2 linked regions of the Neurospora crassa OR74A genome follow. The protein of the gene in region 1 interacts with the protein of each later gene in a biochemical or structural test. Links are inferred from orthologs where the notes say so. Each region holds a gene or a part of one and is shown in the gene's direction. Other genes may lie near its edges.

Region 1 (4,527 bases):
CGCGCCGTGTGAAAGAGCAGGACCTGGTCCGGGAGTTGTGGCCTGGGTCGGACCCGGGGAAGGCACAGCCAAAGGCGTGGATGGCTGAGAAACGCTTCCGTTGGTGAAGGACTGGGTGTATTGCTGCAGACCTGGCGATTGTATCGTCGCAAACTTGGGACTAGCTGCTGGCGGCGTCGGGGCCGCGGCCGACTGAGGCGTAGTGGCGTAGTTCTGGGGAAGGTAAGGCGAGCCCGGCTGAGAGGCAGGACTTGCGCCGGTCTGGGGACGCTGCTGGTTCGGCGGTATCGAGAACTGCGCTTGGGTGGTGGGCGCCGGAGAGGGTGTGTGCTGCGGACGAGCAAACTGCGGTTGCTGGTGGACTGGCGGGCTAGGGTGTTGGATCTGAGGTTGCTGCAACTGGGCCTGGGGATGCTGGAGTTGTGGATGATGTTGCTGTTGTTGCGGCTGCGGGACATGCTGCTGCTGCTGCTGAGGATGTTGGGGGTGTTGTGGTTGTTGTTGAGCGTGTTGCTGGTGAGTTGGGGCTTGCTGGTGCCCTTGCTGATGGACCTGTTGCTGTACACGTTGCTGCGGCTGCTGTTGCTGTTGTTGTTGCGGCGGCGGCGGTTGGGTCTGCTGTTGGCTATGTTGTTGCAACTGTTGGGGAATTTGGCGAGGCTGGACATGCTGCTGAGGTTGCTGGGCGCGTTGCTGCAGCTGTTGCTGAGCAAGGGCTTGGGCTTGTTGTTGAGCGAGCATCTGGGCACGTTGTTGCTGTTGTTGCTGGAGCTGGAACTGTTGCAACTGCGGCGACATTTGTGGTGGTTGCTGCTGCTGCTGCAACTGAGGTTGTTGTTGTTGTTGTTGTTGTTGTTGTTGCAACTGAGGCTGCTGCTGTTGTAACTGAGGCTGCTGCTGTTGCAACTGAGGCATCTGAGGCTGTTGCGGTGGTTGCGCCATGGTGATGGGGCGCCCTTGGGGTGGACAGATGAAGGTCGTCGTTGATAATAAGCAGCTATTCCTTGTCCTCCAGCTGACGGCGAGGCTGAGCTCCCAACTGATCAAGTGCTCAGGTTCCCGTCACCGTAAACCCAAGTGGAAGCAGGCGAACCTGCGCTGCCCCTCTAGCTACGCCGTGTCTCTCCTTCCATACGCCGGTCGCTCGTATCGATCGGTGTCCGAGTTGGTCGATGTATTTCTCGCTCGTTGGAGTATCGTCGTGGTCGACAATTAATTGTCGTTTGGATCCGCGGGAGTGATGGCGACGGTGGGAGGTTATGAATCGGATTGTTGGGTGAAGCACTGGAGGAGGGGAGGTCGAGGTCGGGTGGTCGGAGAAAGAATGACGAACAATAAAATCGAAAAGAGGGACTCTCGCACACGAAGAACGACGGGACCAGTTGCTGCCCGCCGCTGCAGGTTCAATTGCTTGTTGCTAGCGGCGGCACGAGCTCCACTGAACCTCAACAAGGGTCGCGTCTGGTACGTACAATGAAGTGAGTGAGCCAGTCACGTGTGAGATTGGTGGAAAATAGTGGGGCATTTGGCCGTTGACGGTTGTTGTGCGGCTGGCTTGGGACCGAAGAGGGACTTCCGGCAGGCAAATCAGCCGCCAACTTCAACCTCACTTCATTCAACGAGCACTTGCCATCTTCATCCAAAACGCATTCAACATCCATCAACGAAATCACATCAAGGGCGCCATCCATATTCACGGCGCGTACTAATCCGTGATATTCCGTCTTTCTTCTCACGTCGACTGAGCCACGTCATCTCGCAATTGACGTGCGTAATTCGCGTTTCAAATCGCATCGAAACCGCCACACTTTGCCAATCAAACAATCGCAGTCAGCAGCTTGAAAGTTCCCAAGTATATACAGGGCGACGGTGGGAAAGCAAGGATTTACGCGTGGAGCGAACGAACCAAAAGAATACCTAAGCCATGGCTTCCAAGCGGAAGGCTTCGGCAATGGCGACGGAGCCAGAGGAGCCGGTCGACCCAGCGGATGAACTCATGTTCCTCAACCTCGGCGGAGGCAACGAAGTCGGCCGATCATGTCACATCATCCAGTACAAGGGCAAAACCGTTATGGTGCGCAAAATCAACCAAAATCAATCACTCCTCCCAACGAACATGGGCTGACCTCTCCGTGGGTTGTTGTAGCTTGATGCTGGCCAACATCCAGCATATGATGGCCTAGCTGCCCTTCCATTCTTTGATGACTTCGATCTCAGCACAGTAGATGTCCTCTTGATCAGCCAGTAAGCCCAACCCCCTTCACCCCCTTTTTTTGCCATGGCCTACAATTATATGTATGCCCGTCTATCCGCGAGAGACAGTGCCGCAGTGTTTGGCTTGGGACAAGATGGGTTGATGATCGAGCTGGGCTCTGGATATACGCCATCGCCAGTGACTGACACGTTGCTCTATGGTCTCTGCGGTTCTTGTCCGCTTTGCAGCATTGTACCGTCCATCATATACATGTATTCAGGAAATGAAAATACAAAAGAATTTGTCGCCATTGCCCGCTCTTCTCCTTTTCCCCCTCCCATCTTGTCTGCCACTCGCGCTGCATGTTCTCTGTGAAGCACTGTCCTCGCCCATAGTCGCCTACCTGGTCCAGACCTTAGCCGAGACTGACTGCCCACTCTCTAGTTTTCATATCGACCATGCCGCCTCGTTACCATATGTCTTGGCCAAGACCAACTTCCGAGGCCGTGTCTTCATGACACATGCCACCAAGGCTATCTACAAATGGCTTATCCAGGACAGTGTCCGTGTTGGCAACACATCGTCGAACCCGCAATCGTCGCTCGTCTACACCGAGGAGGACCATCTCAAGACCTTTCCCATGATCGAGGCCATCGACTACAATACTACCCACACCATCTCCTCCATCCGCATCACACCATACCCAGCCGGCCACGTCCTTGGCGCCGCCATGTTTCTGATTGAGATCGCCGGCCTCAAGATCTTCTTCACTGGCGACTATTCCCGTGAAGAAGACAGGCATCTTATCTCTGCCAAAGTCCCCAAGGGTGTCAAGATCGACGTCCTCATCACCGAGTCCACCTACGGTATCGCCTCGCACATTCCCCGACCAGAACGTGAACAGGCCCTCATGAAATCCATCACCGGCATCCTTAACAGAGGCGGCCGCGTCCTCATGCCCGTCTTCGCCCTCGGTCGAGCCCAGGAGCTCCTCCTCATCCTCGACGAGTACTGGGGCAAGCACGCCGAATACCAGAAATACCCCATCTACTACGCCTCCAACCTCGCGCGCAAGTGTATGCTTGTCTACCAGACCTATGTCGGCTCCATGAACGACAACATCAAGCGGCTGTTCCGCGAGCGTCTGGCCGAGTCCGAGTCCTCCGGTGACGGTGCCGGCAAGGGAGGACCATGGGACTTTAGGTTCATCCGCTCCCTCAAGAGCCTTGACCGCTTCGAGGACGTCGGCGGCTGCGTCATGCTTGCCTCCCCTGGTATGCTCCAAAATGGCGTCAGTCGCGAGCTGCTGGAGCGATGGGCGCCGAGCGAGAAGAACGGCGTTATCATCACCGGTTACTCCGTCGAGGGCACCATGGCCAAGCAGCTCCTTCAAGAGCCAGAGCAGATTCAAGCCGTCATGTCTCGCAACATTGCCGGTGCCCGCCGCGGCCCCGGTGGTGACGCCGAGAAGGTCATGATCCCCCGTCGCTGCACCGTCCAGGAGTTCTCCTTTGCTGCGCACGTTGACGGCGTGGAAAACAGGGAGTTCATCGAGGAAGTCGCCGCCCCCGTCGTCATCCTCGTTCACGGCGAGGTGCACAACATGATGCGTCTCAAGTCCAAGCTTCTTTCGCTCAACGCGACCAAGGAACACAAAGTCAAGGTGTTCAGCCCCAGAAACTGCGAGGAGCTTCGCATCCCTTTCAAGACGGACAAAGTCGCCAAGGTGGTGGGCAAGCTTGCGTCCATCCCGCCTTCTTTAAAGGAAGCCAAGACCGGGCATGACGGACCTCTTCCCTCCTCTACCGAACCTCAGCTTATCACTGGTGTTTTGGTGCAAAACGACTTCAAAATGTCCCTGATGGCTCCGGAGGATCTCAGAGAGTATGCTGGCTTGACGACCACCACTATTGCGTGCAAGCAGCGTTTGAAGCTGAGTGCCGCTGGTATTGACCTCATCAAGTGGGGTCTCGAAGGAACCTTTGGTGCCGTCGAAGAACTCCCCGAAGTGAAGCCAAAGCTGGAGATCGTTAAGAGCGAGAACGGCGATACCAAGATGGAAGAAGCTGATGAGGAGTTGCCCCACGGTGACGACGTGGTAGCCGCTTACCTGGTCATGGGATGCGTCACCGTCCGCTACCGTGCCAGCGGCGAGGTAGAACTAGAGTGGGAAGGCAACATGCTCAACGACGGCATTGCTGATGCCGTGATGGCCGTGTTGCTTGGTATTGAGAGTAGTCCAGCTGCCGTGAAGCGTATGTCCCTTTTTCCCGTTCCCTTCCCGTTCTTATTCCCCTTTCCCTTCCCCTGGCCCATTTCTTCTTACATATCCC
Region 2 (4,283 bases), on another chromosome or scaffold:
AGATCATTGCGGGTCTCTTCCTCAATGACCTAAAGCGCATCGAGGAGGTGTTGGCTTCGGAGGAGAGCAGAATGTACTCGGCGAGCTTGCTGTTCACATTCGAAGGAGACGGCAACGCGTTGAGAGCTGCCCTTGACCGGACCCGAGCTGACATGTCGGGAGAGCAATACAAGAAGGATGATGGACCGTACACGCCAGGTCTATCTGCATCTCGCGTTGATAGTGGCATCGAGATGGATGACGAGGGGCAGATGGTGTTTCCAATCAACGCAGCCATCGGCCAAAACATGATACTGGCGAACCTGGCTCAGGCACCTGGTTCCCAAGACATCCAACTCACTGCCGATTCCGACGCAGACAGCATGTCGGGTTCCTCGAACGGCGATATTCCTCGCATCTACTCCCTCAAACTCATTGACTTTGCACATGCCGAGTGGACACCCGGGCAAGGCCCAGACGAGAATGCTCTGTTTGGCGTTCGGAGTTTGATCAAGATCTTTGAACAGCTGGCAGATGATTGAAGGGCGGGTTTCCGAAAGCAATCGTGGAGTTAAGGCGGCATTTCAAGGCGTTTGGGATTGCAATTGGGGCTACCTTGCGAGACTACGGTTAGAGCATGTCACGGGCAGGTTAGAGGAAGGAAAAGAGACGAAAAGGGAAGAGAGCATATACGAATATATATGCATAGGTAGAGGAGAGGTTTTTGACGTCCGTTACGAACATCATTGAAAGAAGGGGAACCAGCCACACGGGCTATTAGGGGGACGGCAATTCTTTTCACGCAATATACCCCTTATTTTTGTTGTACGCTGTTATCCGATCTTGCCACAACTTGAACGTAATTGTAGTATCTGGATGTGGTTGTTGTTGTTGATGTTGTTGTTGTCTGTGACAGCAATTCACAACTTGCGCTGGAACCATATGCCATATTTTACTGTTTCAATGTTTTTTCTTGAAAATCTGCTATGAAGGCAGACATGCTACTGAAATTTGACAAACTCACCAGCAGCTGGTTAGAGGCAATAGGTACTAAAACGGGCTGCTTTTAACTCGATTTTCAAACACTCGAACTGGGACGAAAAGTGGAAGCGGAAAGCACAATTACACCTGGCAGTCTGGAGTAAGACAACCTCAATGAATGCCCTTGACACGCTTAGTACCTTCAGGGTACACAGCGTTTGAGCCCCACTGCCCGCAGCCGCTAAACTCACCTCAGCTTCAACAGCCCTGGCCTTGCTGCAGTGAGCATCAGCTCCCCGTCTTCCACTTAGGTTCCATTGCATGCCACAATAACCTGGAATCCCTGCATGCCAACGGCTGGACTTTACAACTTTCACCCCCATCGGCGCAAACGCAAACAGAACCTTACAAGAAGGAGAACGAAATACAAGTACATATCCAACAGCCTGTGAACAACCTCGTTCACGCGCTGAACACAGCCCGCAATGTCAATTCCAGGCCTCGGTCAGATAGCCCCGCAGGTAAACGAACCCAAGCTCTCGCGCGGACATGCTTCGTATAACCCCAGGCGCGCACGTGTATCCAACGGCATCACCATCTCCTCACAAGCCATTATTATCCATAGGCACACTCGTGACCCGAGATCACAACCAGCTAACCATCGCCTGCCATTTGCCCGTTTTCGGTAATCCAGGCTCCCACAACCACCCAGCGGACCATTAACCTCCGACCGTTCGGCGAATGGCGCTTCTCCATCCCCCACCAACACAGCACCTTCTCATCGAACTCCTCCGCCGCCGGAGTCACCGTCCGCCTCGTCGCCGGCACTGCTGAGCGCGATGGCACTGAGCTCGCGCCCAACTGCGTCTACACATTTCTCCCCGGCACCAAATCAAAGCTCTTCACCGATCAAGGATGCACTCTGGAGATCAACAACACGGGCGGCTACCCCCTCGAGGACCGCGTGGTTGAACACCCGCCGGAACAGTCGCCCATGCTTAGCTATATCAACCTCCACTTTGGCCTCCAAGACCACGAGCGTGCCGCGGCCGCTCAGGCACAACAACAACATCCTACACACCACCAGCAGCAGCAACAAGGGAGAGGAGCAGGAGCAGGAGTAGCGAGGTCAAAACCCGGGCCAAGAGTGCTGATCTGTGGTCCACCCGGCGTCGGCAAGACCTCGCTGGCGAAGCTCCTCGCTGCCCTCGCCACGCGCATGGGCTCTCAGCCGCTGGTAGCCAATCTGAACCCGACCGACGGGCTGCTGTGTCTACCCGGAACGCTGGGTGCGGCCGTGTTCGGCACGTTGATGGACGTGGAGGAGCCGGCGGGTGGGTTTGGCGTGACGAACACGCCGATCAGCGGTCCCAGCGCGGTGCCAGTCAAGAACCCGCTCACATTTTACTTTGGACACGAGAAGGTGGAGGACGACGTGGACATGTGGAGGCAGATGACGGAGCGGCTGGCGGTGTTGGCCAGGCGCAAGTTTGAGAGGAATCGGGATGTGAGGGTGGCGGGGTTGTTGGTTGATACGGCGCCGGTGGAGGCGGGGGACAAAGAGGGGCAGGAGCTGTTGGGGTGGGCGGTTAGGCAGTTTGATGGTGAGTTTATGTCTGATTGGCCTCCAGAAAGACCTCATCAAGAGTGACGAAAGCTAACAATGCAACTATAGCAAACTTCGTTGTGGTGCTAGGCTCTGAACAGCTAAAGACAGAACTTGGGCAGCGGTTCGCAAGCGAGAAGACGAGCTTTGAAGAGCCGATTACTGTCCTCGGGTTAGACAAGTCGGATGGTGCTGTACAGATTGACAAGGCGTGGAGGCAGAAGTCTACAGAGACGGCGATTAAGGAATACTTCTTTGGTGGCATTAAGGCGCGCTTGAGCCCCTTTACACAGTCAGCCAGTTTCGACGAACTAGTCGTTTTCAAGGCGCCTGACGGTGAGTTTTCTCTCTCTCTCACTCTCTTTCTCTCGCTGCACTGAAACTACCTCACCCTACCTGGCACCTAAGCTAACGCCTGTCTTTACCAAAACAGAACCCTATGAAGGCGCCCCAGTCCTCGAGCGAGTCGAAATCACCCCCGAAATGGCCCACTGGACGCTAGCAGTCATGATCGCTTCCGTGACCGACTCGCCGCAAGCCATCCGCTTTTCCTCGGTCCTGGGCTTCATCGTCATCGCCGACGTGGACCAGGAGCGCAGGCGGGTCAAGTTCCTGTCGCCGGTCAGCGGTCGGCTGGGCAACCACCCGCTGATATGGGGACGCTGGCCGGAACCGTATCTCAACCTCCTGGCGTAGGCTCGCCGAAACGTGATACGGGTACGGATGAGAGATGGTGGTCACCAATTGAGCCTGCAAGAGACAAATGATCTCCGGGTTTGCTTGAAGGTGTGGCAAAAATTGACGGATACGGCTGGCGTTGGGTTGGGCTTCGAGATGGAAAATGGTGAAAATGGCATGTAAAGGTGTTTGTTGTTATTCTTGCTTTTGGGTGTCTTTTGACTAGCATGAGAGTGAGCGGGAACAGATTTGGTACCTTGTTATTCTCCTTTGGTGGCTTGTTTGATTCTTGTTGAACATTGTTATTGGTACTTGAAAACGCAAGGCATCAGTCAGTTGTATGCTTTTTGCAACACTCATATCTACCAGTCACTCATTGATATGGGTTTCGTGGTAGAGAGCATGATTTTTGGTCTCTTGAGAGTTTTGAACGTTCTGCTCGAAATGGAGAGTTCCTAACCAGCTTCAGAAAGTAATCGTACTATATCAGCAAAGCTCACATCCAAGTTTTCCCACAGTAATAAGTAGATCAAATTAAAGACGCCGAGATACATATGTCTCAAGTTAAACGTTGTTAGGAATAGAAACAAGTTATGTGCAATGTGTTTACGCTGGTTGTAACATAGTATAGAGTCTTCCCGTTTGGTACTCGTCTAAGAACGTGACCGATTTGTTTATGGTTGGTTCCCCCTATTCTTGTTTTCTATCCTGGCCCATGAGGCTATGATACTGATGGTGACCATTCGGACGAATGACATTATATGCAGTAGGTCATTTACCTTCACCTTATCGCTAGAATCACATAGTGAGCGTGACGAGTTACCTATATAAGGGGATTCAAGGGCACCAGGGCACCGTTAAATGTGCATGGCAAGTAAATTTTCCTGTACATTGACATGCTCCCCTCCGGGAGTCAGTAAAAACGTTACTTCGTAACTCTATCAGCAATGGTTATTCACTTTGCTGGAGAAAGAGGTACATCCTCCACTAGGAATAAATATCGCTGTCCTACAGTAGTTTCTTATGGTACGTAGAGCAT

What was found.
Region 2: the proteins of NCU03479 (region 1) and NCU06314 form a complex in vitro, tested with the Saccharomyces cerevisiae proteins (3 studies listed by BioGRID). The link is inferred for Neurospora crassa OR74A from reciprocal best matches to the Saccharomyces cerevisiae genes YSH1 and CLP1.

What each region holds. Positions count from the first base shown.
Region 1 is NC_026502.1:550,902-555,428, forward strand, and holds the start of NCU03479 (endoribonuclease ysh-1), read left to right. Parts: upstream 1-1,598; 5' UTR 1,599-1,924; coding exon 1,925-2,074; intron 2,075-2,146; coding exon 2,147-2,244; intron 2,245-2,638; coding exon 2,639-4,449; intron 4,450-4,527. Other genes in the region: NCU03480 (hypothetical protein), read right to left, coding at 1-942. UniProt on the Saccharomyces cerevisiae protein: Component of the cleavage and polyadenylation factor (CPF) complex, which plays a key role in polyadenylation-dependent pre-mRNA 3'-end formation and cooperates with cleavage factors including the CFIA complex and NAB4/CFIB. Has endonuclease activity.
Region 2 is NC_026504.1:2,943,395-2,947,677, forward strand, and holds NCU06314 (hypothetical protein), read left to right. Parts: upstream 1-1,294; 5' UTR 1,295-1,954; coding exon 1,955-2,564; intron 2,565-2,635; coding exon 2,636-2,902; intron 2,903-2,999; coding exon 3,000-3,262; 3' UTR 3,263-3,742; downstream 3,743-4,283. Other genes in the region: NCU06315 (inositol hexaphosphate kinase 3), read left to right, coding at 1-521. UniProt on the Saccharomyces cerevisiae protein: Component of the cleavage factor IA (CF IA) complex, which is involved in the endonucleolytic cleavage during polyadenylation-dependent pre-mRNA 3'-end formation. Associates with HRB1/CF IB to form the cleavage factor I (CF I) complex.